Linked DNA regions of Callithrix jacchus. The protein of the gene in region 1 purifies or fractionates together with the protein of each later gene. This does not show direct contact. Links are inferred from orthologs where the notes say so. Each region holds a gene or a part of one and is shown in the gene's direction. Other genes may lie near its edges. The genes, in order: PHF1, EZH2, RBBP7 and EED.

Region 1 (8,399 bases):
GGGCAATATAGTGAGACTCTTGTTTCTTTTTCTTTTTTTTTTTTGAGACAGAGTTTCGCTCTTGTTACCCAGGCTGGAGGGCAATGGCGCGATCTCGGCTTTCTTGTTTCTACAAAAAGTATGAAAATTAGCTGGGTGTAGTGGCTCACACCTGTAGTTCCAGCTACTCAGGAGGCTGAGATGGGAGGATCACCTGAGCCTGGGAGGTGGAGGCTGCAGTGAGCCGTGTTCCTACCACGGCACTTCAGCCTGGGTGACAGAGCAAAACCTTGTCTCAAAAAAAAAAAAAAGAACACAAAAATCCCCAAGATTCCTCCCCATCACCACACAGTGATCATTATTTTTAGGTCTGCCTAGGACTCCACTATGTAGTTGCACCAAAATTTATCCACCAGTTCCCTCTACTGGACACTTGGATTGTTTCCACCCTTTATTAGTCACAAACAAGACCATGTTGACTAACTGTATGTACATCATTTTGTATTTTTTCAGTTACATGTAACCATCTAGGGAAATAGACATTGAAATGAGATTACTGGATCAAAGACTTAGAATTTTTTCAGACTATTTCAAATAGTGCGAATTCAGACACCAAACCCCATGAGGGTCAGCCAGTGACCCTTCTACTATTGTTAAGCAAGTCAGGAAGTTTCCTTATTGTCTGCCTCTATGGGTAATTTTTTTCTCTGGCTAACCCTCCTCCTGAGCTTTGATAGGCTCTGGCTTTATTTGAGGTCTGATCAGGTCTGTACTTCTGCAGTGCTTGGGCTTCCTCCCAATCAGCGTTGATTGTTGTTTTTTGTTTTGTTTTGTTTTGTTTTGTTTTGTTTTGCGGGGGCAGGGAAGGGGAAGGGAGGGACGGGGCTCGGGGGAGCCCGACTCCTGCCTGGAGTTTGGAGGCGTCCCAGCTGCGGAAGGGATCCCAGCTGCGAAGGGGATCGGCACCCTCAGCACAGACCCAGCAGAGAGGGGAGGGAGGGAGGGACGGAGGGGCGGGTACGGGGAAGGGAGTAGAGGAAGGAAAAAAAATGATCAGCATTGATTGTTGCCGTGGAGTAGCCAGCACCTGTACCCTGATCTGCTGTTCTACTTTGATGAGGGTTTCCCTATCTCGTAAGTTCAATTTTAGAGGATGTTGATGTTTGTTCTAACTTTTTATTAGTTATTATACCAGTGTAACATCCAACATGAACTTTAATATCCTCTAATAACCAGTTTATGTTAAATTTCACCCAACTGTCTCAGAAGTGTCTTTTATACATAATAGGTTTATTCAAATCAGGGTCCAGGCAAGGGCCACCCAGTTGGTTCAAATGTCTCAAGTTCCTTTTAATCTGTAACAGCCCTATCCCATGCTGCCACTATTATGTCATTTGTTTGTTGAAGGTCATTTGTCCTGTAGAATACACTTGTCTGGATTGTGGCTGGTTGCTTCCTCTTTCCCCCATGCTTTGACTTATTTATCATATTTGGGTGTTGTCAGCCTGATCCATCCACTTAAAAGCTCCCTATTGACCTTTCACCTAGTGATTTTATCCAGGAGTAACCATACCTAGATTCGTTATTTCATTAAGGGCTTTTTAAATGATGATTCAGTCTTCTCAGTTCTGCGTTGGTTAGTCACTATTCTTTTATGAAGAAATTTGCTTTGCCATCTACTTGGTTTCTGTGAAACTCAGTTCATAGAGGAAAAACAAGATAAATGCTGGATTATTTATTGATTTTCAGTATTGAGTTGATACCCTAACAGCTTCCAAAGGTGACCAATGAAGGTCTATCTGAGCGTTACTTTTTTTTTTTTTTTTAGACAGGGTTTTGGTCTGTTGCCCAGGCTGGAATTCAGTGGCTCAATCAAAGTTCATTGTAGCCTCCAAAGGTGTTGGGATTACAGGCGTGAGCCACCGAGCCCGACCACAGTCATTCTTTCTGATGCTCAAATTGCCCCATATTTGGCCATTAGGAACCTCCTTCAGGTTGGCGCCAGTGTCCTTTAGACACAACCCTAGTAGTCTTTTTTCAGATTCAACTTGTACATTTCCTCCTCCAGACTTCAACTGATCCACTTTTCTAAGGAGTGCTAATTCCTAAATGGGTGCTCGTTGCTATTACTATTTTATCTCAGTTTAAGGATTTTACAGTGGAAGAGGTTGGAGGTCTCTAGTAGAGAGTATTGCTGGAAATGAAAGCCTCCTCTCTCCGCTCCTGTATTTTGTTGTGGGGCTTCCATCTCTCAGGCCTTTTCACCTCCTCCAAACCTAGTGTGGAAAGGAGAACCAACCATAACTGAAATCAGCCTGAACCAGCCTTTGGAGGCCTTATTTCAGTATTCCTGAGGGCAGCCCCTAGCATTGGAGGATGGGAGGAGATCTTAAGAAAACTGTTCTTTTGGTTATTTTGCAAACTTTTTTATCCTGTCTCACCCCCTACACCCAGGTGAACCAGTGTGTTATTGGTACTGCCCAAGCCAACAGGAAGTGAAGACGGATCCAGATCTTGTGTGTTGGGGGTGTATGTGTTGGGTGAGGGGTGGGAGGGTTACTGAAGGGTGCTTTATTGGGTGGAGGGCGCCATGTCCCAGGGCTATCAAATAAAGAATACTTTTTTTTTTTTTAAATAAAGGTTTTCATTAGCATTTGCCCAAGGAGGCAGATACTTTCATATCTGTAAAGGTGGGACCTGTGATCTGTCCCTTCTGCAAAGTGTTTGTGTGGGAGGCGGGAGCGGGGGTTGAGGGCTTGGGCTTTTCTCCCTTCACCTGTCACCAGTTCTGGACCCTGGTCTGGATCATCTTCCCCTCTGCTAATGCCCCGTTCCCTGTCCGTCACATCGGGAGGTGTGCCCTCTAGCTATCCACGCCCCTTCCAACGTAACTAGTTACAGATTAAGTTTCACCCTTCCGCCCGCCACCTCATCCCCAGGGAGGGAACGGTCCTTTGGTGGGTGTCCGCAAATAGGGACCGGACCTCGGAGTCCCGAGGTGGGGCCGGCGCGCGCTCCCGAACTGCTGGCTCTTTCCTCCCGCCCTTTCCTTGCCTTTCTGTTCGAACCGCTGGGGCTCTGCCCGCCCGCTGCCCATTGGCTGGCTCTCGGTGGCGTCACCGCCTCGGGTACTAGCCCCCTTAGTCTTTGCGCCCGCCCTGGAAGTACGGGGCGGGACGTGCCCGGGAAGCGGCGCGCACGACCGCCGACTTCCTCGCGCCAACGGTCGACGGCCGCCGCCCGTGAAGGAGGGGCTCAGTCCTCCCAGGTGCCGCGCGCAGGAGGGGACACGCGTGCGCAAAAGGGCGGCGGGTGGGGCGCGACTAGCCACGGGGAGGGCGGGGCTGGGGCTAACAGCGAGTGGAGGGCGGGGCGCGCGAGGGAGGGCGTGGTGGGGGCAACGGGAAGGGTGAATGGAGGGCGGGGCCGCGAACTGGGGGCGGGGGGCGGGACTCGGCGTGACCATGGGGGGTGGGGCAGCTAACGGATGTGGCACGGGGCGGGGGACCAGTCCGGAGGCGGGCTGCCGCGAGGGGGGATTCCCTCCTGCCCCAAGGGCGAATCTCAGGTCTGAGGAAGGGGCTGAGGGGATTCCCTCTCCCACTGGGTCCGACTCTTCGCTCCCCAAACCGCGGAGGGCCAGCCTCTTGCTCGGCGCCCTCCAGGCCTGTTGGAGGTGAGGGAGGTGGGGTGAGGTGGTGCCCGGCCCCCCTCCGGCTCCTCCTTCCCCCCAGTCCTCCCCTCCCACCACCCTCCCCCCCAACCGGTCCGTCCCTCCCCTCCTTCCCCCCCGCCGCCTCCTCCTCCTGCCGCTGCCGCTGCTTTGGCTGCTGCGTCATACGCCCCAGAGCCGCCGGGACGGAGGGGCTGGGCCTGGGGACCCCCCGGCCTCCGCCTGCACGCCCCCCGACGCCCGGACGTGCCCTCTCCGCGCGGGGGACTCGCCTAGGTCTACTACGTCTGCCCCTGCCCAGCTCCCGGCGGCCCCAGCTGTCACCGGTAAGGAGGCGCCGGTGGGGGGCAGGGAGCCGGGGGTCGGCGCGGGGCGCGGGCGGGAGAGCCTCGTCGTCCTGGCCGCGGGGTCCTGGTTGGGCCGACGCAAGTCCCTTCTCGGACTTGCAGTCCTGGGGAGTAGAGACCGGGACTCGGACACGCCCCCCTCCCGGGGCACTCAGAGAAGTTGTCTAACCCGAGGGCAGGGAGCCCCGAATTTGAGGGTGACCTGACATAACCTGGCACCAGGATGATTGTTCTTAATGAGACACGCAGGCCTGGGGAGACAGCCGTTTCTGCCCTGGAAAACATCTCTAGAAAAGGTCCCAAAATACATTTCTGGGCAACAGGGCACCCTAATTATGGTACCTCTAAACTGAGGGGTAGCCTTTGCTTCTGCAAACGTAATTTCCCCTAAAATTTAAAGGCCAGGATATAATATCCCAGGAGAGCTCTGGAAGCTGTGAAACTAGAGAACTAGGTTTGGGTCGGGGGGAGGGCAGTTACCGAGAGTAGAGCCAGTCACTAGAGTTGGAAGAGTACTCAAGAAGCTGGTGATGGGTGCCCAGTGTTTTCCTATCCAGGTGTGTCAGGATTGGGAGTTGGGGGCACAGATCCTTCATTTTTGACGGCAAAATAGGCAAATAAAATGGGGAAGCTGGCTGGGCGCGGTGGCTCATGCCTTTAATCCCAGCACTTCGGAAGGCCGAGGTGGGTGGATCACAAGGTCAGGAATTCGAGACCAGCCTGGCCAATGTGGTGAAACCCCATGTCTACTAAAAATACAAAAATTAGCCGGGTGTGGTAGTGTGCACTTGTAATCCCACCTGCTTGGGAGTCTGAGGCAGGAGAATTGCTTGAACTGAGGTAGAGGTTGCAGTGAGTAGAGATCACACCATTGCACTCCTGGGCGACAGAGCAAGACTCCATTTCACACCACTGCACGCCTGGTGACAGAGCAAGACTCCATCTCAGGGAAAAAAAAAAAAAAAAAAAGAAAATGGGGAAGTTTTCTCAGCATTCATAACCTCTTCCCCATTTCTTTTCCGGCTAGCCCCCCCCAGGATGCAATGGCGCAGCCCCCCCGGCTGAGCCGTTCTGGTGCCTCCTCACTTTGGGACCCAGCTTCCCCTGCTCCCACCTCTGGCCCCAGACCTCGACTTTGGGAGGGTCAAGATGTGCTGGCCAGATGGACTGATGGGCTGCTATACTTGGGCACCATCAAAAAGGTAAGACCTTCTACCTCTGACCTTCTTCCTATTCCCCTTATCTAAGTCTGGTTCCCATTTCATTCTCTATGCTCACCCATTGCAGGTGGACAGTGCTAGGGAGGTGTGTCTGGTCCAGTTTGAGGATGATTCACAGTTTCTGGTTCTATGGAAAGACATTAGCCCTGGTAAGACTCTAGAGACCTGAGATTGCACATCACATGGAAAACAAACCTGGCTTATAGGAGAAGAAAGAGACTTAAGGGCAGGCCCCTGACACTGTGTTCTCTCATAGCTGCCCTCCCTGGGGAGGAACTCCTCTGTTGTGTCTGTCGCTCTGAGACTGTGGTCCCTGGGAACCGGCTGGTCAGCTGTGAGAAGTGTCGCCATGGTAAGAGGGCAGGTCACCTGAATGGTCCAGCTTGCTCTTCCCTCCAGCACAGTCCCTATGTCACCTGTCCTGGCCTTAGTCCCCAAGCCACTGTTCTGGCCAGGCTGCTTAGCCCTTAGTCCTCATCCCCTGTAAGCCCAGGGAAAAGCAGCCATAGAAAGGGTTGGTGTAACCTTTGCAGGTAGAGGATGATTTAAATGCATCCTTTCCTAACCGTATGACCTTGAGCAAGTCCCTAAATCTCTGGGAGCCTCAGTTCCTTGACTTGTAAAATAAGGAAAATGCACTCCCTCATCAAGACCATGGTCAAGGATTAAATGAGATGAGTAAAGACTATTCCAGTCCCAATACCCAGCACACACAGGTATGCAATAAGTGGTCTATTATTATCATTCTTCAGCTTATCACCAGGACTGCCATGTTCCCAGGGCTCCAGCCCCTGGAGAAGGAGAGGGCACATCCTGGGTGTGCCGCCAATGTGTCTTTGCAATCGCCACCAAGGTAAAGGCACCTCCCTGTTACCCCTTCCTGTGGGAGCCTCCCATCCACAGCCTTTCACAAGCCTTTCCTCTCCCCACCCCGCTGAGGCCACCCACCTGTTCTATCTCTGCAGAGGGGCGGTGCCCTGAAGAAGGGCCCCTATGCCCGGGCCATGCTGGGTATGAAGCTCTCTCTGCCATATGGACTGAAGGGGCTGGACTGGGATGCTGGACATCTGAGCAATCGACAGCAGAGCTACTGTTACTGTGGTGGCCCTGGGGAGTGAGTAATGAGGGGGAGCAGACTGTGCAATGAATGATGGCGGGGTGGACCCCAGGAAATGAAGGAGAAAGAACAGTGAGGGTAGCACTCAGGGGGTTGTGAAGTAAGTGATAAGCAGGTTTGGGACAGATATAGGGATGGTTGCAGTGAGTCGAGAGGCCAGAAGTCCTCTGTTTCCCCTTAGGTGGAACCTGAAAATGCTGCAGTGCCGGAGCTGCCTGCAGTGGTTCCATGAGGCCTGCACCCAGTGTCTGAGCAAGCCCCTCCTCTATGGGGACAGGTGAGACTCTCCAGGAGCCAATGATGCTCTGTCTTTGTGCTCCACCCTCAGTTCCCCCACGCCCTTCTCCACTCCAATCTCTTCCCAACCTCTGCAGGGTTACCTCACCTGTTCACCCCATCCTTGCTTGTGAGTCCTCCAGGAGACGGCATAGTTTTTCTGTGTAAGGTGTGTGTTCTCCCTCTTGTCCACGTCCAGGTTCTATGAATTTGAATGCTGTGTGTGTCGCGGGGGCCCTGAGAAAGTCCGGAGACTACAGCTTCGCTGGTGAGCTGGATTGGTCATGACCTCAGTGTAACTCTGCACCCCCAGCATTTCACTCTGTATGCCCCAACCTCCCACCTCAGGACTCCTCTGGCTCTTAAAATGCCTCTGTGGTCTTGAAAACTCTTTCTCCAGGGTGGATGTGGCCCATCTTGTCCTTTATCACCTCAGCGTTTGCTGTAAGAAGAAATACTTTGATTTTGACCGTGAGATCCTCCCCTTCACTTCTGAAAATTGGGACAGTTTGCTCCTGGGGGAGGTAAGGGGTAGTGACTTTTGGGAGTTGGGATGGGACAGGAAGATGTATTGGAAAGGGGAAGAGAAGAAATCACTGCTCCCCTGGCCCCATTTTCTTTCCTTCTCCCAGCTTTCAGATACCCCCAAAGGAGAACGTTCTTCCAAGCTCCTCTCTGCTCTCAACAGCCACAAGGACCGGTGAGTTGGAGGGAAGAGGAGGCAAGGGTGAGGCTTGGAAAGAGATGGAGATTGGAAGCCTGGAATGGGAGCCGTTTGTAACCCATCTGGAAGACTGTGACTGAAAAGGATTTAGGAATGGTGTAAGGGGGGACCTTTTTTACAGCAATGACTGTATCATTTATCTTCTTGCCCCAGTTTCATTTCAGGGAGAGAGATTAAGAAGAGGAAATGTTTGTTTGGTCTTCATGCTCGGATGCCTCCCCCTGTGGAGCCCCCTACTGGAGATGGAGTATTCACCAGGTCACTGGTCCAGGGGGGATGGGGGAAATTCTCAGGGTGTTAGTCTGGGGAATTTATGTATAGAGATGGGGAGGTCTTTGGGGTGTCCGGGAGGGGGCTGGGGGGATAAGGAGGCCTCTTACAGCTTCCCTTCAGGGCAGGGCCCTGGGGGAGGGGTCTCACGTCCCCTGGGGAAGCGCCGGAGGCCGGAGCCAGAGCCCCTGAGGAGGAGGCAGAAGGGGAAAGTGGAGGAGCTGGGGCCACCCTCAGCAGTGCGCAATCAGCCCGAGCCCCGGGAGCAGAGGGAGCGGGCTCATCTGCAGAGGGCACTGCAGGTACAGGGGAAGGGGGAACCCTATGGAGCAAATGGTGGGGTGTGGGAAGGAGTCAAGAATTATCTCTCAGTCCTTTGCCCCCTCTTCTAGGCCTCAGTGTCTCCGCCACCCCCCAGCCCTAACCAGAGTTACCAGGGCAGCAGCGGCTACAACTTCCGGCCCACAGATGCCCGCTGCCTGCCCAGGTCAGTGCTCCTCTGCCCCTTCCCCCCAAAAATACACTCCCATTTATTCATATCTTCTGGACTTTCTCACCCAGAATTCTTTTCCGTCTCCCCCTTGGCTACCCACTTCTTGTCCTAGACCAACTTCTAGAGCTAGTGTCTGGTAGCCAGTATTCAGGGGAAGGGAGTCCCTTGGGGGTAATGTTTGAGCTCTGTACTTCCTAGAGGGAGAAGGTCCTGTTACCCTGCTTCAGGTCCTGACTTTCCCCCCTCTGACCCCAGCAGCCCCATCCGGATGTTTGCTTCCTTCCACCCCTCTGCCAGCAC
Region 2 (7,867 bases), on another chromosome or scaffold:
TATCTTTGCCTTTTTAGAAAGCAAATTAATGGATGAATCACTGTCACAGTTCTTCCTAACTACTCTATCCTTAAACCTTCACTTCCACTAAGGAAGGAATTGTTTTGTGCTGCAGTGACTGTGATGATTGAAAGATTATCCCACTGGCCTGATGCAACCCAGTGCTGAGGGTCAGGTGTGGCCCGTATGCCAGATTTCTACTCTGAATTTCACCACACCTACCTCTGCTATTTTTAAGACATTTTAAATAAAAAATTTAAACCTTTAATATGTATGTGTGTATATATATATATACATATATATATGATTTTTTTGGTTTCATTTTATTACACTTCTTTTTTGCTCTATTTTCATTGATTGTGAATTATGAATGTATGTCTAGGATATTTTGGAGAAGGCTCTGGAGGACTTACACTTCGGCAGTGGTACTCTTTAAGAAATCATGGATTCATTGACAGGGTGGAAAGTGCTGTGGTTATTTGGGCACAGATTTTCACCATACTTCAGAGAATCAAAGATGCAAAATTTTTGACATTTTAACATCTGAAACTAACATGCATCTTAGAATCACTGTGATAAGAACACATATCTTTGTTTAGTTGGCAACATTTTTTTTCTTAGTAAAACAGAAGATAATGGTGTGCCTTGAAATCACTATCATTTTAGATTGTATGGAATATGGTATTTCAAGGGACTGTGTGCAATGACACATTTTAAAAATATGATATCATGGCAATATAAGGAGTAGTAAGAGCAGGGGCTTCAGAGTCAGACTTTGGGGTTTTAAATTCTAGCCCTATAACCATGTGCAACCTTGGGCAACTTATTTTTCCTTTCATTACCATAGTTTTCTCACCTGTAAAATGGGGGCTAAGAACAGTAACCCATCTTACAGTGTTATGAGGATTAAATATAAGACATGTAATGTGTTTAAAATAGCCTAGCACATAGAAAGTAGTCATATTAGCGAATACTACGAATTCAGACATTACAGTTTTGCAGAATAGATTAGAATTTACTTTGTTGTGTTTGAAACTCAAACCCATTACCCTTAATATTTATATATCATCTGATAATATCAGCAGTTAACACTTGGATTTTTAAAAAGGAAGATAAAGATAAGGAAGATTAACCTAACAAGTTTTCTTATTCTTGTTAAGTAAGATTGAAGTGGCATATTTGGTGTATATATATATATTACTCTTTGTGGTTGGAATGTAAGAGACACGAAGGATGAGATAGGAAATGTATAGTGAAAGCATGGATCAGTTAATCAGATTGCTGAAGCTCACATAAGTACAGTTTTTGATTCTTACTGATATTGGTAAGTATGGGAAGGGTTGGAGGTTTTGAAAATTTACAAAATTTGAAGAATTTTTCACCTTAAGTAAAAGAGAGAAAAGAGAATCCTATTTGGTTTATATGAACGTAACTGTCCTAGGTAAGGACATTTTTTTTCAAAATTAAATAGGTAGGCAGCATCTCTTTACAATATGATGGCTACAGCTTAAGGTTGTCCTTCTATTCTTAAGAGTCAATTTTATTTTTTCTGTTTTAGTGTTCGGTGACCAGTGACTTGGATTTTCCAACACAAGTCATCCCATTAAAGACTCTGAATGCAGTTGCTTCAGTACCCATAATGTATTCTTGGTCTCCCCTACAGCAGAATTTTATGGTATGTAAATAAGACATCTTCTGCTTGTTTGATAATAACTTATTTGAAATAAAAAAGCATAGATAATTTTATTGTCAAGGTGACTCAATCAAGACAGTATAAATTTTAAAAAGCTAACATAATAATAAAAAGTAATTTAAAAAATGGATTAATATAGTCTTTTTAAGACGTTTGCAGTATTACTCTTTATACTCTCCAAAGGAAAAATGTTAAGCAGTAACCATACCTAGGATTACAAATACTTAGAAGTTGGGCTGGGCATTGTGACTCATGCCTATAATCCCAGCACTTCAGGAGGCTGAGGTGGAAGGATGGCTTCAGGGAGGCGGAGATTGTAGTGAGCTGATATTATGTCACTGCACTCCAGCCTGGGTGACAGCCAGACCTATCTCAGAAAAAAAAAAAAGGTAATGAAGCTTATAGTTCTTATCCTTAAAAAAGCCAGTGTCCTATAATCTCAGTCTTTGAGTTTTTGTTAATTGAGAACTATTTAAAATAATTTTAGGTAGCATTTTATTGTGATAATATACATAGGGCTTATAAAACACAAACTTAAACATATTTCCATAGCTAACTATGACCCAGTAGCTTTTGTAATAACATGCTAAAGAGAAACCGAAGCATGTGTTCTTGACTTGTATTGCTAAATAAAAAATACATTGTTTCATTGCTTAATTGATATATAAAGTGGGAAGGCTAATAAAATGTTGACGGAAGTCCTTGGTGGACCTGCTTTAGGAAATTGCTTATTAGATTAAAAAAATAGATATTTCCAATATTTTTAGTAAGTTTTATACTTTGTACAGTAGAGTATCCACTTCAATTACTCTTCCATAATTGTGTAAATTTGAATGTACTTTGAGAATTACATTGCAAGACCTTAAGGGAAGTTTTATGTTTTCACAGACTGAAATTCTAGAATATAGTATTTACATTTATCAATAAATATAATTTGTGAATCATCCATGGATTTTGCTGGCCCATCGTGGGTGACAGAACCAGACTCTGTCTGATTTTGCTGACCGAAGCAGATTAGGCACACAATTTTTATTATAACTAGGATATGTTTTGGAGAACAGGATTATGTGGATATAATTGGGAAGACAAAATAGCTAAGTGTCACTTAATTTTGGCTTAGATATAAAGAAATCAGCTCCTAGTTTAAATGAGATTAGTGCTGTAATCCTAGCACTTTGGGAGGCCAAGGTGAGTGGATCACCTGAGGTCAGGTGTTGGAAACCAGCCTGGCCAACATGGTGAAACCCAATCTCTACTAAAAATACAAAAAATTAGCCGGGTGTGGTGGCACATGCCTTTAATCCCAGCTACTCAGGAGGCTGAGGCAGGAGAATTGCTTGAACCTGGGAGGTGGAGGTTACAGTGAACTGAAATCGTGCCATTGAGCTCCATCCTGGGCAACAAGAATGAAACTTCGTCTCAAAAAAAAAAAAAAGGATTAGTGCAAGTGAAATGAGATGAAAACAGGCCTCTAGTGTGTACATCATCTTGAATTTGAATATATGAATATATTAAAATCTACATTTTAATTATAATGCCCCATTTATCCCAATTGTTCTTTTCCTTGTCTAAGGTCCTGTTATCTTTATGAACTCTCCAGTTGTCCTAAATTTGTTACCTAGGGATTATTTGAGATTTTGTCCACACTTCCTGCTTGCTACTAGTTTGTGTGGGCTTTCCCAGCGTGTTATTCCCTGTGGGCCATGGTCACAGTGGAGGGCCAAGCCTATACCATCTCACCCTTTTAAGAGCTGCTGTGTACTCCCAGTCAGTCTCAGCCAGTTCATTCTGCTTATCAGAACTATCTTTCTAAAATTCCATTTTTAGCAAATATCTTTTTCAAAGTCCTCTTAAGACTTAGACTTGTCTTCACTTGGAATTAGTCTCTTTAAGCATGTACTTCAGAACTGTGCAGTCTTTATCTATAATTACTGTCATTTTTATTCTTCATTGAAAATTCTCTTCCTCCCATGAATGTCAGCTTTCTTTACCTTGAAATCTTAAGTACTCCATTCTCTTAACTTTTGATTGGCTCTTCTTTCTTCTCTCTTGTCTTCCAAAGCTTGATATAAACTCATCTATCATCTTTACTAGCACTGTCAACTTTGATACTAATCTCATTCATCTAAATATTGAAATATGTTTTTATAGAATGTTCTTATTTTACATATAAGCACATATCCTTTGGGCATAAACTTGATTGGACCATCAATACTCTTATGTCCCTAGAATTTTATTATCTTGGTTATCTTAAATTTTTTTTTTCTTTTTACCTTGAACTATTATGAATTAACAGATATCTTAATAACTGGATCATCAAGTGGAATGTAGGAGCCTTATGATAGTTTTTTGGTATGGGTTTTTACAGTTGATCTTGATATACTATATTTCATTAAGACAACTCCCCTCCTTGTATTAACGTATGAAATAAGAGAGTGCCTTAAAACTGATGATGGCTGGGCATGGTGGCTTATGGTGCCAGATACCTGTAATCCCAGCACTTTGGGACCAGCCTGGGCAGGATACTGAGACGCTCATCTCAATAAAAAATGAAACAAGAAAATGAACTGGTTATGTCTTTTCGTAATGTAGAGCATATTTTTCTTTCTTAGAGGTATGTAAAATTATAGTAAGTTTTAATGATTGATGACAAAGTACAGTATTTTTTCTTGAATTAAATTCTTTTTCTTTCAGCAGTTTTCGCAGATATGCTTATTCTTTGCTTTTATTCTCTGATATTATTCTTTGGTAGCTTTTAGAGTTTGCTCTCTGACTAGTATTTTAAATCTGGAGAACTGAGTAAAGACATCTTCATATGAAAAAAGGTTGTATTTTAGTTATTTCACATTTGATAGTTAGAATAAAGCTGCTTTTTAAATATTTCTTTTTCCTTTTAGGTGGAAGATGAAACTGTTTTACATAACATTCCTTATATGGGAGATGAAGTGTTAGACCAGGATGGTACTTTCATTGAAGAACTAATAAAAAATTATGATGGAAAAGTACATGGGGATAGAGGTGAGCCATATGCTCCTCTTGGGAAAAGGGGCTAACATGGATACTTTTGTTTATTAAGCATAGGGCTTGAGAAAAATTTTAGTGTTAAAATTAAGTTTTGCACTGAACTATAAGGGACTGATCTGGGCCCAGGCCTAAAATTTTTAGCATTTTCCCTATTTTTGGGAAAATTAGTTAGGAGGCTCATGGTTGGCCACCTGATAATTACACATGGTTGGTTATGACATAAATTATAATCGCAATTACATGTAAATTAAATAGAAATTGAGCATATGTAGATTTTAAGATTCTTTAGTAGTAAAGTTAGTTAGGATTGGGGCTCTGCTTATGTGGCATATGGGGGCTCTAGCACCCCTACTGCTCAAAAATACCTGTCCTCTAGGAACTACAGTACTTCAAATTCAATCATTAGAGTTATGGGTTCAGTTTTTTTTTTTTAATGTCCAGGAGGCCCTGTTAAAGTGTCTGAAAGGGTAATATTTGTAATATCATCATCCATTGTCATTATCAATAGAAAGCGGGCTCTGAAGTGATCAGTTAAAGAATGGTAAGAGGCTAAAGCCACGATCAGTACCTAGAGGATGTGGTTTTATAGTAGAAACTTTTGGGGAGGGGCTATTCAACAGAAAATAGCAGATATTAAAGATAATTCTGCTTTCTAACTTTGTCTAAGGCCAGTCTTGAAAATCTTACATTTTCCTCCCCTCATGTCAATAATAATGTTTTAGTGCTAGTGACTGGGCTATGCCTGTTATGTCCAAAGTAGAAAAAGGATCCATAAACTTTTGTCATTACTACTTCTCCTGTGTGATTCTGACATTTGATGAATTTCAGAATGTGGGTTTATAAATGATGAAATTTTTGTGGAGTTGGTGAATGCCCTTGGTCAATATAATGATGATGATGATGATGATGATGGAGATGATCCTGAAGATAGAGAAGAAAAGCAGAAAGATCTGGAAGATCACCGAGATGGTATGCCTGATGATTAGGATTCTGTGTAGCCAATACAGCTTTCTTTTGAAAACAGTAGAAAGAGTAGAAGGAGGGCTTAGTTTCTTTCTCTTTTTTTTCTTTCTTTGTTAAATATCACATTGATAGCAGTATAATTAAAATTGCATATTATGGCTGGTCAGGGTGGCTAACATTGTAATCCTAGCATTTTGGGAGACCAGGGTAGGCAGATTGCTTGAACCCAGGAGTTCAAGACCAGCCTGGGCAACATAGCAAGACCCCCACCCATCTCTACTAAAAAACGAAAAAATGAGGCAGGGAGATTGCTTGAACCCAGGAGGTATAGGCTGCACTGAGCTGTGATTGTGCCACTGTACAATCTGGCTGGGCAATAGAGTGAGACCCTGCCTTAAAAAAGAAAAAGAAGGCTGGGTGTGGTGGCCCACACCTGTAATCCTAGCACTTTGGGAGGCCGAGGTGGGTGTATCACGACAAGGTCAAGAGATCAAGACCATCCTGGCCAGCAGAGTGAAACCCCGTCTCTACTAAAAACACAAAAATTAGCTGGGTGTGGTGGTGCTCACCTGTAGTCCCAGCTACTCGGGAGGCTGAGGCAGGAGAATCGCTTGAACCCAGGAGGCAGAGGTTGCAGTGAGCTGAGACTGCGCCACTGCACTCCAGCCTGACAGAACGAAACTCTGTCTCAAAACAAAAAAAGCAAATGAAAAAGAAAAAAAGCGTATTACTTGCAACATTATTTTCAGTTTAGTACCTTTGTTTCCTTTGGCTAGGGAAAAACATAATTTTTTGTGTGCTTCACTGGGCATTGTTTTATTATGATATTCACTATGTACAAGTTGTGTACTAATCAGGTTCATATGCACCAGCTCACTTAATCCTCATGATGGCTTCATGAGATGGATGTTTTTATTATATCCATTTTATAGTTGAGGGGATAGATTTAGAGAGGTTAAGTAACTTACAAGATTACACTACTGGGAAGAAACAGAGCCAATAGTTGCTGTTCTCTACTTGGCAAAGCTTATGTTAAGGCAACAAAGAAGAATTTGGTGAGGGAAATAGCAGTTTTGTTTTTTTTTTTGATACAGAGTCTTGCTCTGTTGCCAGGCTGGAGTGCAGTGGCGTGATCTCAGCTCACTGCAGCCTCTCCGCCTCCCTGATTCAAGTGATTGTCCTGCCTCAGCCTCTCAAGTAGCTGGGACTACAGGCGCACGCCACCATGCCCAGCTAATTTTTGTATTTTTAGTAGAGACGGGGTTTTACCATGTTGGCCAGGATGGGCTCTATCTCTTGATTTCATGATCCGCCCACCTTGGCCTCCCAAAGTGCTGGGATTATAGGCATGAGCCACCGGGTCCGGCTGGGAAATAGCAATTTTTTTTTTGGAGATGGACTCTTGCTCTGTTGCTCAGGCTGGAGTGCAATGGTGAGATACCCGCTCATTACAGTCTGCCTCCTGGGTTCAAGTAATTCTCCTGCGTGAACCTATTCCAAGTAGCTGGGATTACAGGCGTCCACCACCATGCCTGGCTAATTTTTTGTGTTTTTAGTAGGGATGGAGTTTTACCATGTTGGTCAGGCTGGTCTCAAACTTCTGACCTTGTGATCCACCTGCCTTGGTCTCCCAAAGTCCTGAGATTACAGGCACGAGAGACTGTGCCCGGCTGGAAATAGCAATTTCTAAGAAGCATATTTCAGAAAGAGAATTTAAAAAGGCACCTTAGTGAACATCTAGTTGAGTCAGTTCCTTCATTTTACAGATGAGTTAACAGACTCAAGAGGTAAAGTGATCACTCTTGGTTACAAAATCAGTTAGTAGCAGAGCTGGGAGTAGAACTTAGGTTTTCTGCTTGACAGTGCTCTTAAAGCTTTTCATATTTGAGTTTGAATTTTGTTTTTGACTGACTGGTATTCCACAGACACATGTAAAATACGGGAAGTAAGCAAAATACAAAGTTGATGATTTCTTAGAAAATCAGCTTTTTATAGAGACATAGTTGGGTGGAGAAAATCAAAGATCGAAAACTTATTTCCCTTTTTTTTTTCTTTCATATTCTCCTGTTTAGATAAAGAAAGTCGCCCACCTCGAAAATTTCCTTCCGATAAAATTTTTGAAGCCATTTCCTCAATGTTTCCAGATAAGGGCACAGCAGAAGAACTAAAGGAAAAGTAAGATTTGTT
Region 3 (7,867 bases), on another chromosome or scaffold:
GGCCCCGTGGCGGAGGCGGTCGCCGCTGCCTGGAAGCGAACACCGCGGCTCTTTACAGGCGCGCGCGTCGATCGCCTCGGGGTCGCGGCCCTTGTCCGGGGGTTGCTGGAGCCCTCCGGCCTATGGCGGCCGTCAGGACCTGGGGCCTCCCCTGATGGGGAATGAAGGGACTGGGCCTGTGGGCTTCTGCTACATGTACATTTGTCTCACCCAGTGGGTCGCGCAGCCCCTGTACATATAAGTCGTCATCTTAGAACAGGTGCGAACAGCTGTAGTAGGGTAAACAATTTCCATGTCCGCGTAATTGACTACCCAACATGGTATACGCAGGAGGTATTGATCTCAACTAAAAAAAATACGCTTCCTGGTTGTGTTAGTATTCTCTCCGCCTCCTGGAAGAGCGGTTAGTTGTCCGTGTCCAAATTAGAGGTAAAAAGAAAGCGTACATGAGGTGTGGCCATCTTGAGATGACCTCCAATTTCTGACTTCAGTCCATCTCAGGCACTTAATCGTGTGGGCTTTCTCCAAATTTCAGTGTTTGAAGATACTGTGGAGGAGCGTGTCATCAATGAAGAATATAAAATCTGGAAGAAGAATACACCGTTTCTATATGACCTGGTTATGACCCATGCTCTTCAGTGGCCCAGTCTTACAGTTCAGTGGCTTCCTGAAGTGACTAAGTAAGGGTTTCTGGCAACTTTTATTTTGCTTAAATTTAACTGTAGTTCTGAATTTCCTAGTTTTGACGTTTTATACATAGAACATAAGTATGTAATCAGCCCTTGCATGAGGTAGCAGGTGGTTTTTATTTTCAAAACTTACGTGATTTGTGGGATGATTTCTGGCATATACTGTGGCGTTAAAAGGGGAGAAAGAATCTGTTGTGAGATTAATAGTGTTTGGAGGAAATACTGAATGTATTTGACATTGCCTGGGCTTGAATGTAGAGCAGCATCTCTCTGGGCCCAAACTACTACATGTCTTTAAAACTTCATTGAAAAATAGAACATATACAGAAAAGTTCACACATTGTTAAGTGTATGGCTTGATAAATTTTTACAAAGTGAACACGTAAGAGGCACCCAAGATAAATACATTTTAATTGGTAAAGGGGAAAAGACCTTGTCAACAATTGACCAAAGAATGGGTATTATCGCCGCATGTTTTCACTCATAGGCGGGTATTGAACAATGACGAACACGGGGAGGGGAGCACCACACACTGGGGTCTGTTGCGGGGGAGGTGATGGGGAGGGATAACATGGGGAGAAATGCCAGATATCGGTGACAAGGGACGGAGGCAGCAAACCACCTTGCCATGTATGTACCTATGCAACAATCCTGCATGATCTGCGCATATACCCAAGAACCTAAAGTGCAATTTGAAAAAAAAAGGTGTTAATCAGCTTCTAATATGGAATCCACTTTGAGATTGCTGTTAGTCTTCATAAGAGTATTCTTTTCTGTTAGATCTACAGTTTCTCTGGTAATAATTGCTGGCATTTATTGAGCACTCAGAACAGGGCCTGGCACATCTGAAGAGTCTACATCCTATTGTAATTCTCATAATAGTACTGTGCTCTAGGTACTTTTCATCATCTTTGTTTTACTAATAAGGGAACTGGGACTGAGCGTTTAAGTGCTATCCCAGGATCACACAGCTGGTCCCTGCATTAGATTTCTCATTCACTTGCACTTTTCTAGTAGGAACTTGACCATGTACTTTTAAAGTGTATTAAATACGGAGCCAGGCACAGTGGCTTACTCCTGTAATCCTAGCGCTTTGGAAGGTTAGCTTGAGCCCAGGAGTTCAAGGCTGTAGTGAGAGCGAGAGACCCTGTCTCCCAAAGAAACAAAAAAAAAGTGTATTAAAATTGGGTGTTGTGGACATATAAGTTAAAGAATATTAAATTAAACTCTAACCTAAAAAGAGGATTTTGTAACAAGTTATAAAAATAATTTTTGGCCGGACGCAGTGGCTCACACCTGTTACCCTATCACTGGTAGGCTGAGGCAGGTGGATTGCCTGAGTTCAGGAGTTCAAAACCAGCCTGGGCAATGTGCTGAAATCCCGTCTCTACTAAAATACAAAAAAAAGAGGGCCAGGCGTGGTGGTGTGTGCCTGTAGTCCCGGCTACAGGGAGGCTGAGGCAGGAGAATTGCTTGAACCCGGGAGGCAGGGGTTGCAGTGAGCTGAGATCACACTACTGCACTCCAGCCTGGGCGACAGAGCAAGACTCCGTCTCTAAAATAATAATAATCATAATGAGCTAATTTTGTATAAAACTGCTCTTACAATGGCTAGGTTCTGCACGCAAACATTGATTTCCATACAGATAGGGACTTCCACTGGGCCTCCCAAAAATCTAAATGTAAATATGCGGATGTGGGAAGAGTAGAGAACTAAATGGTGAAGACTTGGAAGCATTGACGTTTACAGCCACCTTTGAACAGATTTAACAGTAGATTAAGCATCATATACTCAGGGGTATTCAAGTTCTGGTTTGGAGCATCGTGTGCATTTGCCTGTTTTTGTCTGTTAAGCAGATTTAAAATTTATTAACTAAATTTTGGGGATATTTTTGACCCACTGTAACATAATAGAGTAGGGGCTTTAAACTTAGAGACCTGGGTTGGAATCATGCTCCTGCTTCTACTTAGCTTCATGAACTAGTTGTCTGGGCTGTAAATGGAGATGGTGGTGGTACTGACTACCTCAATTTGAGGGAATTAAATAAGATCATGCATGTTAAAGTGCCTGATGCAGCATGAGTACACAGCAAGTGGTGACTGATGCTGATTCTCCCACCCCTTCCTGTTCAGAAATAATTTGTCAGGATTGAAATAGCTCTGTGTTTCTTCATTTGGATTTCAATGAAAGCTGCTTGCTTAAGTTTTTTTTTTTTTTTTTTTTTTGTTACCTATAATATGTAACACTTAGGAATGTAACAGAAAATGCTTTAATTAAATTATTTCATGTGTATTATGGTGTTCTTTATATACAAAGATGTTGTAGGATTGGGTTGTGGGAAGTGCAGTGGCTTAGAGAATGTAAGAAAATGCCAAGCAGCCTGCATTCTTGGATGTTGAGGATTGCTGTGTGGAGCTTTGCAAGGTTCAGTTTGGGGTATAAAGAGACTGTGTTTTACCACCATATAGCACAATAAAAATGTTGGCTATTCTCAGTGCCTGACTCTGAGGAACTAGACCCTACTCCACCCCATATGCCCTTCTTCTGCCAACTTACAACATGCTTCATAACAATTACTTGGACTTTCTGAGCTATTGTCCTTCAATTGAGTTAAGTAATTGTCCAAATAACTGATTTTGATTTGGCTTTTTTTTTTTTTTTTGGAGACAGAGTTTAGTTCCGTCACTCAGGCTGGAGTGCAATGGCACCATCTCTGCTCATTGCAGCCTCAGCCTCCCAGGTTCAAGCAATTCTCCTGCCTCAGCCTCCTGAGTAGCTGGGATTACAGGCATGCACCACCACGCCTGCCTAATTTTTTTATTTTTAGTAGAGACCGTTTCACCATGTTGGTCAGGTTGGTTTTGAACTCCTGACCTCGTGATCTGTCTGCCTTGGCCTCCCAAAGTGCTGGGATTACAGGCGTTGATTTGGCTTTTAAAAGGTTTTTTTTAGGTAGCTCTGTGAAATTTTTTTAATTAGGTAGGTATTTCATATCTCTTGTTGAATAATTCCTGAACTATATTGAGACTAACTTATTCTCTACCTTAAAAAGCTTTGTAATTTTTCAAATTCAGGCAGTACATCCTTTTGTACATCCCTTACTGCCCTACTTCCTTTCCCCAGTCACTGTTTTCAGTTTCTTAATCCATCCTGCCAGCATGTAGAAGTGTATACCTGTATCTTCATCTTTTTTTATGGTAGCAAGTTCTTCACTTGAGTTTGTCAGTAAAAGTGTAAATTGGAGATTTTCCTATCAGCATGCTTGGATATGCTTGTTGTTTTAAAGGGTGCCAGAGAATTCTGTTTTGTTTTTGTTTTTTAATGAGATGGAGTTTTGCTCTTGTTGCCCTGGCTGGAGTGCAATGGTGCAATCTCCACTCACTGCAACCTCTGTCTCCTTGGTTCAGGTGTTTCTCCTGCCTCAGCCTCCTGAGTAGCTGGGATTACAGGCATGTGCCACCATGCCTGGCTAATTTTGTATTTTTAGTAGAGAAGGGGTTTCACTGTGTTGGCCAGGCTGGTCACAAACTCCTGACCTCAGGTGATCCGCCCGCCTCAGCCTCCCAGAGTGCTGGGATTACAGGCATGAGCCACCGTAGCTGGCTGTCTTTTTTTTAAACAAGTTGCTATTGCTTAGTTATGGCTTCCTTACTCTGTTCTTGGGGGAGTGTGTGTGTGTGTGTATCTGTCTGTGCACACTTTTTTTTTTTTTTCTAAGACAGAGTCTCTGTGTCACCCAGGCTGGAGTGCAGTGGCACGATCGTGGCTCACAGCAACCTCTACCTCCCTGGTTCAAGCAATTTCCCTGCCTCAGCCTCCCAAGCAGCGGGGATTACAGGCGCATGCCACCATGCCTGGCTAATTTTTTTGCATTTTTAGTAGAGGTGGGGTTTCACCGTGTTGGTCAGGCTGGTCTGGAACTCCTGACCTCATGATCCGCCTACTTCGACCTCCCAAAAGTGCTGGGATTGCAGACGTGAGCCACCGTGCCCAGCCGCGTACACTTTTTTTACTGTAAGCCAAATCTTGGTAAAATTGCATCTTGTATTTTCTTATTACTAAATTACTTGCCTAGAAGTAACATTCAGTCTTTTTTTTTTTTTTTTAACCATTGAATCCTTTGTGCAACTGAAATTTTTAAACAGATAAATGGCCTAACTTGTGTTGGGGCCTAGAGCCCGTCTAAGTCCTCTTCATTGAGATGGGACCGTGGAGCACAGTTGAAAATTGTGTTCTAGATAATACAAATGGGAAAGCCTTTTTGATAGATACTGGTGAAAAATCACTGCTTGGACCAAGGTGCCAAGAGGTTTGGGCAAGTTCTTCAGCCTCAAGGTGAGTTTCCACAGAACAAGGTAACAAAGACACCTCAGTAAAACTGAGAATGTTCATTTCATAAACTTAGGTCTCATAAACATAAATAAGGGGTTTCACATCAGACCATTTGCACTTACAACCTGTTTTTTTCAGTGAAGAAACAGGCCCCAGGGAGGTTGTGTTTGAAGCAATTGCATTTTAGTTTGATCCGGGACTTAAGCTAAGTTTTTTTGACTCAACACTTTCTGTCCATACTACCTTGTAGAATTTCTTATTGGGAAATAAGAAACATCTACTGTATAAGATATCTTTAGGTGGGAAGAAGATTTTTTTAGGTGATTTATGAGTACGGGGACTGTTGGTGGACTCCTGTGTAGATGTTTGTGTTTACTGAGTTGGGCCTACCTTCCCCAGAGTGCTGCTCTATAAAAGGCAGTATTCACATTGATAATTGAAGCACAGGAGAATAGCTCTTGGGGAAAGAAGCAAGCCTTCTGCATGTCGTAGCTAGAATATTATTTTCTTACACTTGCATATGTGGTGATTGTAAAGTTGGTAACCACACAGGGAGAAGATACACAGTTGATACTAAGTATATATTTGCTAAAGAAATTTGAATGTATTTTGAGGGAACTTGACTGAATTTGTTAGCAACTGGAAATTTCTTAGAGGATTAGTGTGACTTGTTTTCTTTTCTAAACAGACCGGAAGGAAAAGATTATGCCCTTCATTGGCTAGTGCTGGGGACTCACACGTCTGATGAGCAGAATCATCTGGTGGTTGCTCGAGTACATATTCCCAATGATGATGCACAGTTTGATGCTTCCCATTGTGACAGTGACAAGGGTGGTAGGTATATTATATATTCCAATATTGATGTCAAAGGGGATATGCCTCGTTCAAAGCGTGTGCTACTAAAACTATTAGCTTTTGGCCCAGTAATTTAACTCTAGGACTTTATCCTACGGAATTACTCACCCACATGTACATAAGGGATTTTAATCGTAATTGTAGAATTGAAAAATTAAGATCAACCTAGTAACCCAGATGTTGGTTAAGCACATGGTATGTTTGAAATACTACTCAGCAATTAATGAGAAAGGCCAGGTGCCATAGCTCACACCTATAATCCCAGCACTTTGGGAGGCTGAGGTGGGAAGTTTACTTGAGTTGAGGAGTTCAAGCCCAGTCTGGACAACATAGACCTCATTTCTACCAAAAATTTAAAAAAAAAATTTTTTTTAATGAGAAAAATCTGTATGCACTGGTATAGGAAGGTATCCAAGATAAATTAAGTGAATAACTGTTATGTGTAATTACCGGGTTCCACTTTGGTAGAAGTAATATGTGTTGGTGTGTGCACAGGGAAAAAATCAGGAGACGACATATACATCAAACAATAGTGATACCAAATGGTTAATGCTGGGGTTTTTTTTGTTTGTTTGGAGGGAGAGGCAGTAGTGCTATGGTTAATTTAGGAATCTCTTGGCTGCTTTTTTCTTTTTTTGATTTAGTCAAACATACTCTCCTGTTTTGGTATTCTCATGACCACCCCAAGTTTGGTGATTTTGTCAGGACTCAAAAGAGCAAATTATACTTGTGGCTAAAGTTTATTACAGTAAAGAATACAAAAGCAGCAGGAAAAAGATGTGCATCGGCAAGTTCAGGGAGGTCTGGCACAAGTCTTGTCCAAGGCCACACAGGATGTGCTTTTCTCTGGCAGCAAACTGCAGGGACATGTGTGAAATATCTCTGCTCAGGGAAGCCTATTTGGGTCTTAGGGTCTGAGGCTTTCTTGGGGGCCTAGTTGCATAGACACATCCTGCTGACAACCAGCCATGGCAACTGAAACTTGAGGACCCCAGTAATAAAAACAATAATCAATCTTGATATCTACAAAGCAACCCTGACAAACTGGTACAACATGGTCCATTGCTCCAGGTGCACACCACAAAATCATCAGTTCATCAGTGACAGAAAGAACATTCTGAGGTGCATGTTCCCAGGAGTTTGCCAAGGGTCACTAAGGGTCCCAGTGCTCCTCAGAGTCCAGGGCTAAGCAACCAGACTGCTGTGTTAACTCTTTCTTCACAGTCCCAGATGGCTTAATGCTATTAGCACTTCATAATACATGCTTTAGGGTTTTTCTCTTATTGAAGATAAAATGTGGTGGCTCATGCCCGTAATCCCAACGCTTTGGGAGGCCGAGTCAGGACGAATGCTTGAGCCCAGGAGTTTAAGTCCAGCCAGGGCACACAGTGAGACTTTGTCTCTATCAAAAAATAAATTAAGCCAGGCGCGGTGGCTCATGCCTGTAATCCTAGCACTTTGGGAGGCGGAGGTGGGTGGATCACCTGAGGTCAGGAGTTCAAGACCAGCCTGACCATCATGGTGAAACCCCATCTTTAAAAAAAATTAAAGATTTTTTTAATTAATTAAATTAAAACTTAGCCATGTGTGATGGTGCATGCCTGTAGTCCTAGCTACTTGGGAGGCTGAAGGGGGAGGATCCCTTGAGCCCAGGAGTTTGAAGCTGTAGTGAGCTAGGATCACACGACTGCCCTCCAGCCTGAGCAACAGAGCAAGATCCTGACTCAAAAATATTACATTTTCTAGTGTAGTGAAACTGCTAGGTTGTATGGTGTATTCATTGTTAACTTCATAGAAAACTATTCTCCAAAGTGATTTACCCAGTTTACCACTCCCACAATTTACAGTTCATTCCCCAACAATTTTATGCATTATTTCTTTAAATATTGAGGATTTCTTGTTTTTGTTTGTTTTGAGGCAGAGTCTTTCTGTGTCGCCCAGGCTGGAGTGCAGTGGTGCAATCTTGGCTCACTGCAACCTCTACCTCCTG
Region 4 (7,867 bases), on another chromosome or scaffold:
AAGTGTTTTCATAGGTAAGTGCTTGTTACCTAACTTGTGATTTAAGCTTTTGGTTGTGATAAAGCTTTATCATAAACAGTATTTTAAAATGTGAAAACTAGACTAGTAGACATCTTTTAATTTTAGTGTCAAAAGTCAGCTTATGTATGATGCACAAAATAATGGATTGCATTTTGGACAAAAGTGAGAAGGGGAAAGGTTTGTTTACTGTCATTTTCTCGTTTGTAAGATACATTAATTTTTTCTTATTTCATGATTATTTTATAGGAAGATCATAACCAACCATTGTTTGGAGTTCAGTTTAACTGGCACAGTAAAGAAGGAGATCCATTAGTGTTTGCCACTGTAGGAAGCAACAGAGTGAGTGTTAAGGGGTCTATTTAGTATTTGGCTTGATTTCTAGATCTGGTATTAATATAATACTGAAATAGAATAATTTTAAAGTAAATTTTGTGAAGCTGGTTTAACAACTTTCATGTAAGAGTGAAGCGTTCTAGAAACTATCTAATTAAAACCAGTATGCATGGCTGAAAATACATCTTTATTAAATATATTATCCCTAATTGTTGATGAAACAGATTTTATACTTGTGTTTGTCTTCATAAATATTTGGTTGGAAGAATTGGCTTTCTTTTAAAGTTATTTTGTTGTTATTAAATAGCATAAGAAATGGCTGTGATTTTTAAAAATAAAGGTAATTAATGGCTGTATAAATGAAAGCTTAAGTCCAGTGGATTTAAATAAGTTATTGAGATGTTTTAATTATTAGCAGTAAACATTTGAGACTTTTTTGTTTTTGTTTTTGTTTTGAGACAGGTGGTATTTGGTGGTGGTTTTTGTTGTTTTTGAGAGAGGTCGAATCTTACTCTGTCCTCCAGGACGGAGTGCAGTGGCTGATCAAGGCTTATTGCAGCCTCAAATTCTGTGGCTCAGGTGATCCTTGCACATCAGCCTTCTGAGTAGCTGGTATTATAAGCATGCACTACCATGCCTGGCTTATTTTCTGTAGAGATGGGGTTTCACCATGTTGCCCATGCTGATACTGAACTCCTGGGCTCAAGGAATCCACCTGCCTTGGCCTCCCAAAGAGCTGGGGTTGCAGTCGTGAGCCACTATGTCCAGCCTTTTAAGGAAATTTTATAATGACATGTAAGGCTGTAGGGCTTTTACTATTTGGCAGAGTCAAGTCATTGAAACTCTCAGTATGTGTAAGTTACCACTGAAGTTGATAACGTGAAATAATAGCTTTTTTTCCTCCCTTTTTTTTTGGTGTTTAGACAAATGTAGGTTTTAAGATAATGGAGTCTGCTTATAGTTGTTTAGTTTCTAAATTCTTTGGAAACAGCAATTCAGAGGAAAAATGATGTGGCTTTAAGAAAAGGTTGAGGTTATTTTTTTCTTAGTTGGAAATGTAGCCCATTAATTAAATTTGAATCCACTTTTAGGGCACCACTGTAAACCTAAGACAATATTTAGCTCTGATAGTATTATAATTGGTATAGTTTGTGCTCCAGTATGGTTACTGCAGTGTTTCAAGTTTTCTAATAAAAAGAATTCCTATTTTCATTTAAAGTGACATAAAGGGGTGTCATATAGTTTATTGAATTATTAAAAAGTCTGCTGTTAGGATTTCTTTAAAAGGAAGAAAGAAAAAGAAAACAGTTATCACATAAGATACAACCAACTTAGCAGCCATATAAATAATTTTTTTTGGAACATTAACATAGAGGAGATTATGAATTAATAAATTGTGATGATATACAGGATCTTCAGAGATCTTAAATACTGTTATAAAATATGAATAGGTTTTTGCTAAGGTGACTGACTATAAGATATAAGAAAAACGGGGTTGGACACAGTGGCTCATGCCTGTATCCCAGCACTTTGGAAGGTTGAGGTGGGTGAATCACCTGAGGTCAGGTGTTTCAGACCAGTCTGACCAACATGGATACCCCATCTCTACTAAAAATATAAAAATTAGCCTGGCGTGGTAGTGGATGCCTGTAATCTCTGCTACTCTGGAGGCTGAGGCAGGAGAATCACTTGAACCATGGAGACAGAGGTTGCAGTGAGCCGAGATAGTGCCATTGGATTCCAGCCTGGGCAACAAGAGTGAAACTCCGTCTCAAAAAAAAAAAAGAAAAGAAAAAAATTTATAAAAGTTTAGTATTACAAAATTTTATATGGTTTATGTATAGTTTTAATTTTAGAGTATACAACAAATGAAAAGGGCTATCATACATGAGAAAGTTAATACGTGATTATCTGTACCCATGAGAAAGTAATTCATTAGGCAAATTGTAGACTTTTTAATATTAATGTAACTAATATGTAGATGCTCTAAAACTATCCAAAGACTTGCTTTAATTTTATTTTTTTATGTTTTGAGACAGACTCTTGCTCTGTCGCCCAGGCTAGAGTGCAGTGTTGCAATCTCTGCCTCCTAGGTTCAAGCGATTTCCCTGTCCTAGCCTCCCGAGTACCCAGGACTACAGGCGTGTGCTACCATGCCTGGCTAATTTTTTTTTTTTTTTGAGATGGAGTCTTGCTCTGTCGCCAGGCTGGAGTGCAGTGGCGCTATCTCGGCTCACTGCAACCTCCGCCTCCTGGGTTTGAGTGATTCTTCTGCCTCAGCTTCCCGAGTAGCTGGGACCACAGGTGCGTGCCACCACACCTGGCTAATTTTATAGTTTTAGTAGAGATGGGGTTTCACCATGTTGGCCAGGATGGTCTCGGTCTCTTGACCTCTTGAACCGCCTGCCTCGGCCTCCCAAATTCTGGGATTACAGGCGTGAGCCACTGCGTCTGTCCCCTGGCTAACGTTTTGTGTTTTTAGTAGAGACAGGATTTCACTGTGTTAGCCAGGATGGTCTCGATCTCCTGGTCTCATGATCCGCCTTTTCTGACCTCCTAAAGTGCTGGGATTACAGGCAAGAGCCATTGCGCCCAGCCTTAATTTTTATTTTATTTTATTGAGATAAAGTCTCCATGTGTCACTAGGCTGGAGTGTGGTGGCGCAATCTCAGCTCACTGCAATCTCCACCTCCCGTGTTCAAGCGATTCTTCTGCTTCAGTCTCCTGAGTAGCTGGCATTACAGGCTCACACCACTGCACCCAGCTAATTTTTTGTATTTTAGTAGAGATGCGATTTCGCCATGTTGGCCAGGATGGTCTTGATCTCCTGACCTCGTGATCCGCCTGCCTCGGCCTCCCAAACTTTTATTTTTTAATAGGGATGGGGTTTTGCCATGTTGTCTAGGCTGGTCTCAAACTCCTGGGCTCAAGCAGTTCACCTGTCTCAGCCTCCCAAAGTGCTGGCATTAAGTGACCCACTGTGCCTGGCCTCCAAGGCCTTTTTAACTACAATTGAAAGATGATAAGTCACAATTACTTTGAGGTTTTTAACTTTATTCACTTTGAAGAGTTGGTGCAATTAAATGGATGAATATGTTTAAAAGATTGGAAATCAAAACCATTATTACTACAATATTTAATATACTCTGTATTATATAAAACATTCAGCTTTATGATGGTTTCCTTAAGCTTACAGGAGCTAATTTAAGCCAATAGTTTCTAGATTATATTTACGATGTGATTGTGATTAAAACATGTTTAAAAGTTGGAGAGAGTATGTTTCTGTACTTGAGATGAAATTTACTATATTTTTATTTTCATTAGGTTACCTTGTATGAATGTCATTCACAAGGAGAAATCCGGTTGTTGCAATCTTACGTGGATGCTGATGTATCCTTTCCTGGGTTTTTAATATCTTTGGTTAAAGGAATTTATTTTCAATAAGTACACCAAAACTTTTATAAATTAATCAGTTTGCTAAAGTTTTTGTTCTTTCTTAACCTATTTCTTCACTATCACCCAAGAGAATCCTAGTATCTAGTTTTCCTGACCCTTAGAAATCCATTGTGGTATGTGTCAACTCAGCTAGGCAAAAAAAAAGAAAAAAAATACATTGTGGGATGGATGTGCTGGTTGGATGCAGATGTCTAGAGAGGTAGATAGAAATCTAGTAATAGAAAATGTTAGCAGACTGGTTAAAACCTCCTTTTTCTTCAACCTCACCTAGAATATATCATTTAATTGTGGTTATAATGATGAACTTGGGTTGTGACTGGCAGTCATTCCAAGTATTTGATCAACAAAGCCTAGAAAGAAAAAAAAGTGTAGTTTCAGAAATAAAATATTGCAAAACAGGGTCATAAAGAAACGGAAAAATTTGAAAAGTCTGAGTTAGAGCAGTAAAAGCTAAGTAATAAGATGTTTTTTCCAGATCCCTTTGAAAAACTTAGCGAACAAGACAAGGCAGGGACCTTCAGTCTTCTCTGAAAGATACTGAAATTTGACCTGTGTTGTATTGGGAGTATCTCACAAAGAAAAAGGTGGAAAACTGAATTGTTTTTATTTAGATATGTATAGTATTGGAATAGAGCAGAGGTTAACAAACTGCAGCTTGCAGGCTGGACACCTGTTTTTAGTAAAGTTTTGTTGGAACACAACCATGCCCATTCATTTGTGTATTGTCTGCAATTATTTCGGTAATGCAACTACAGAGTTTAGTAGTTGTACGAACAGTTAAAGAGTAAACAATTGAATGGAGAAACTGTAATTTTGTTTGATAATTTGTTATGGATTTTAGACCTCAAATCCCCATTGTATAAATTTGGTTGTAGAAGGAAAATCGAGAACTTTTATGTCAAAAACATTAGCAGTTCTGTGTAAGTTTCTATTATAACTATTGACATTTTTCTTTTTCATAAACAAATTATATTTCTTAACTGTGGAATTTCATAGGCTGATGAAAACTTCTACACTTGTGCATGGACCTATGATAGCAATACAAGCCATCCTCTACTGGCTGTAGCTGGATCTAGAGGCATAATTAGGATAATTAATCCTATAACAATGCAGTGTATAAAGGTGGGTTTTTCTGGTTAAGTTGTAGTTCTACTTCTTTTGAAGTAAAACTTCAAAAAGTAAAACCTTTAAAAAAACTTTTAATGTTAAATTTAAAACCAATGATATGAATGTAACATTTCTGATTTGATTTGTACTTACTTTAGATGAATCTTTTGAGACCTTTGTCACATTCGAGTAATGTAAATTAAGGAATAAGTGGGAAAATGTTAATATTTATAGTGTTTTCTTTTTAGAATTTCCCTCCTTCACCCTTTTCATGCTTTGCTTTGAGAGGCTCTAAATGAACAATAAGAGTGAATCAGTTTTCCAAGACATCCAAACTCCAGGGGTCTTGTCAAAGGGACCTTGTCACAAACTTAAAGGTGAAGTCTAGCAAGTTGATAAGAAGATAAATTTTTCAAATCAACTTTAATCAGCTATTTTTAACCCTGGGGACACATCATAATCATGTGAGGATCCGAGGGCCTCTGCTAATCCGATTAGAATATCTGTAGGTGGGGTTTTGAGCATCTTTTTTTTCTGCTTTTTTTTTTTTTTTTGAGACAGTCTCTCTCACTCTTTTGCCCAGGTTGGAGTATAGTGGCATGATTACAGCTCACTGCAGCCCATGTCTCCTGGGCTCAAGTAATCCTCCTGCCTCAGCCTCTCAAGTAGCTGGGGCCAATTTTAAATTTTTGTGTGCATATGTGAAGATAGGGTCTTGCTATATTGCCCTGGCTGGTCTTGAACTCCTGGCCTCAAGTGATTGTGCCTTAGCTTTCCAAAGTGCTTGGATTAAAGACACGAGCCACACACTGTGCCTGGGCTTTTTTTTTTTTCTCTTTTCACCAAGTTTTTTGGCTGATTTTAATATGCAGCCAAGGTTCAGAACCACCACTTTAAGTGAAACTATTTTTACATTCTCTAAAGATTTATGAAAAAGCATTTACTGATTTCGAGATATGAAACTTGAAATGTTTTAAATTTATTGTAGCACTATGTTGGCCATGGAAATGCTATCAATGAGCTGAAATTCCACCCAAGAGATCCAAATCTTCTCCTGTCAGTAAGTAAAGGTAAGAGAAGCAAATGTTTCTTTAGTCTGTGCAAGTTGTCAGAATTAGGATGGAGTCACTAATGTCAAGAAAACCCTGACAAACAGGAAAAGCCATGAAAAGAGAGTTCACATGCATGTATGTCTGATAATATAAACTCACAAAAAAACACAAGAACCGCAACCTTGCACAAAGGCCATCACAACCTTACATAGAAAATACTGCCAGTAAGTGACTATTCATCCTCAGATTGGCATTACCCTTGCTACTGATTTTGAGGCGAATCTTACTTCAAAACAATTATGTAATCCTTCTCATTTTTTTCTTTTAAAAACCTTACCTTTCTGAAAACACATGCAATTTACTTTGGCATGTGCATTCTCATTGAAGTGCTTTATTTCCATATAAACATCTTTTCTTTTAGAGAGCCTTTCTGTTACTTAGGTTAACAAGTCCTGTTTTATTTCCAGTCTAGTATCTATTAGTTATTTTTCCTGATTCTCTTTCTCCTCCCACCCTCCACCCTGCAATTAGGCCCCAGTGTGTGGACAGATAGTATTCTAAGGGGATAAAAAGCCAAATTAAAAAATAATTTTATAACAATAAATTTTAGTGTGAAAATCCCAGGCTATGTTAGCATATCCAGATCATTCTGTCCAATTATGTAATAATAAATACTACATAGAAAAATTCATATTGCTTTTTTATTTTTAAAAAAAGCTATTGTTTTATAAGGGATTCCCTATAGAATTTCTTAAAAATGCTAAGTTCTCCAGGATAAGTTACTTGAAGTATTTCCCATGAAGGGAAAGCACTGCATTGTTCCTTATGCCTTCATAGACATTATAAATTTATTGTGGGTTTAGATATTATCTAATTTCTGAGCTGTCTGAAATGAATTAGGAAGATCTGATTTTTCACATTGTTTTTGATTGCCTTTCTCTTTCCATTTCTACTTACAAGATTGTTATTTTCTTAGGCTTGTCAAACCTGTAATCTCCCCTGCAGTCTACTCAGATTAAATGATGTCCATAAATTAAAACTCTTATGTGCAAGTTTGTCTTATGTAAAAGTTTCAGTGTCATTTTTTTATAACTACCAAAGCTTAACTTTGGAAATCACTATCTCTAGGAAGAGCTGATTACTGTTTCTTGTCTCTTAATAACACTAATTTGGTCTCAGATATTTCTGTACAAGTGTATAGGCCATAGTGCCTCACTTGTTCTAAATATCACAATGTTTTTTCTTTCTTTCTTTCTTTTTTTTTGAGACAGAGTCTCGCTTTGTCACCTAGGCTGGAGTGCAATGGCTTGATCTCCGCTAACTGCAGCTTTTGCCTCCTGGGTTCAAGTGATTCTCCTGCCTTAGCCTCCTGAGCATGGTGCCCACCACCATGCCTGGCTAATTTTTTCTGGTTTTAACAGAGATGGGATTTTGCCATGTTGGCCAGAGCTGGTCTCAAACTCCTGATCTCAGGTGATCCAGCTGCCTCAGGCTCCCAAAGTGCTGGGATTATAGGCATGAGCCACCGTGCCTGGCCACGCCTGGCTAACTTTTTAAAAGATGTTTTTGTAGAGGTGAAGTCTTGCTGTGTTATCCAGACCGGTCAACTCCTGGCCTTAAGCAGTCCTCCTGACTTGGCCTCCTAAAATGCTCGGATTATAGGCATGAGCCATGATTCCCAGCTAATAAGGGACTTGTATCAAGAATTTTTACTGCTCAACGATTTAAAAATGGCCAAAAGTTCTGAATGGCATTTCTTCAGAGTATATACACAGATGGCCACTGAGCACATGAAAAGATGTTTAACATATTAATCATTAAGGAAATACAAATCAAAACCAAAATGAGATACCACTTCACATCTACTTAGGGTGGCTATAATAAAAACCTTAGATAAT

The links.
Region 2: the proteins of PHF1 (region 1) and EZH2 purify together in Homo sapiens (affinity purification with mass spectrometry; 15 studies listed by BioGRID and IntAct, with this or other methods). This does not show direct contact. The link is inferred for Callithrix jacchus from reciprocal best matches to the Homo sapiens genes PHF1 and EZH2.
Region 3: the proteins of PHF1 (region 1) and RBBP7 purify together in Homo sapiens (affinity purification with mass spectrometry; 7 studies listed by BioGRID and IntAct, with this or other methods). This does not show direct contact. The link is inferred for Callithrix jacchus from reciprocal best matches to the Homo sapiens genes PHF1 and RBBP7.
Region 4: the proteins of PHF1 (region 1) and EED purify together in Homo sapiens (affinity purification with mass spectrometry; 8 studies listed by BioGRID and IntAct, with this or other methods). This does not show direct contact. The link is inferred for Callithrix jacchus from reciprocal best matches to the Homo sapiens genes PHF1 and EED.

Annotation. Positions count from the first base shown.
Region 1 is NC_133505.1:41,641,522-41,649,920, forward strand, and holds the start of PHF1 (PHD finger protein 1), read left to right. Parts: upstream 1-3,445; 5' UTR 3,446-3,978; intron 3,979-5,026; 5' UTR 5,027-5,042; coding exon 5,043-5,201; intron 5,202-5,286; coding exon 5,287-5,368; intron 5,369-5,475; coding exon 5,476-5,571; intron 5,572-5,971; coding exon 5,972-6,072; intron 6,073-6,184; coding exon 6,185-6,333; intron 6,334-6,517; coding exon 6,518-6,613; intron 6,614-6,811; coding exon 6,812-6,880; intron 6,881-7,012; coding exon 7,013-7,136; intron 7,137-7,244; coding exon 7,245-7,312; intron 7,313-7,489; coding exon 7,490-7,594; intron 7,595-7,718; coding exon 7,719-7,908; intron 7,909-7,998; coding exon 7,999-8,093; intron 8,094-8,354; coding exon 8,355-8,399. Other genes in the region: kinesin-like protein KIFC1, read left to right, coding at 2,434-2,478; uncharacterized protein LOC128931737, read right to left, coding at 2,231-2,255, 2,964-3,445. UniProt on the Homo sapiens protein: Polycomb group (PcG) that specifically binds histone H3 trimethylated at 'Lys-36' (H3K36me3) and recruits the PRC2 complex. Involved in DNA damage response and is recruited at double-strand breaks (DSBs).
Region 2 is NC_133512.1:98,887,045-98,894,911, forward strand, and holds part of EZH2 (histone-lysine N-methyltransferase EZH2), read left to right. Parts: intron 1-1,558; coding exon 1,559-1,675; intron 1,676-4,590; coding exon 4,591-4,711; intron 4,712-5,545; coding exon 5,546-5,686; intron 5,687-7,752; coding exon 7,753-7,855; intron 7,856-7,867. UniProt on the Homo sapiens protein: Polycomb group (PcG) protein. Catalytic subunit of the PRC2/EED-EZH2 complex, which methylates 'Lys-9' (H3K9me) and 'Lys-27' (H3K27me) of histone H3, leading to transcriptional repression of the affected target gene.
Region 3 is NC_133524.1:17,120,826-17,128,692, reverse strand, and holds part of RBBP7 (histone-binding protein RBBP7), read left to right. Parts: intron 1-535; coding exon 536-680; intron 681-5,710; coding exon 5,711-5,856; intron 5,857-7,867. UniProt on the Homo sapiens protein: Core histone-binding subunit that may target chromatin remodeling factors, histone acetyltransferases and histone deacetylases to their histone substrates in a manner that is regulated by nucleosomal DNA.
Region 4 is NC_133511.1:54,032,939-54,040,805, reverse strand, and holds part of EED (polycomb protein EED), read left to right. Parts: intron 1-267; coding exon 268-360; intron 361-3,678; coding exon 3,679-3,744; intron 3,745-4,806; coding exon 4,807-4,932; intron 4,933-5,905; coding exon 5,906-5,987; intron 5,988-7,867. UniProt on the Homo sapiens protein: Polycomb group (PcG) protein. Component of the PRC2/EED-EZH2 complex, which methylates 'Lys-9' and 'Lys-27' of histone H3, leading to transcriptional repression of the affected target gene.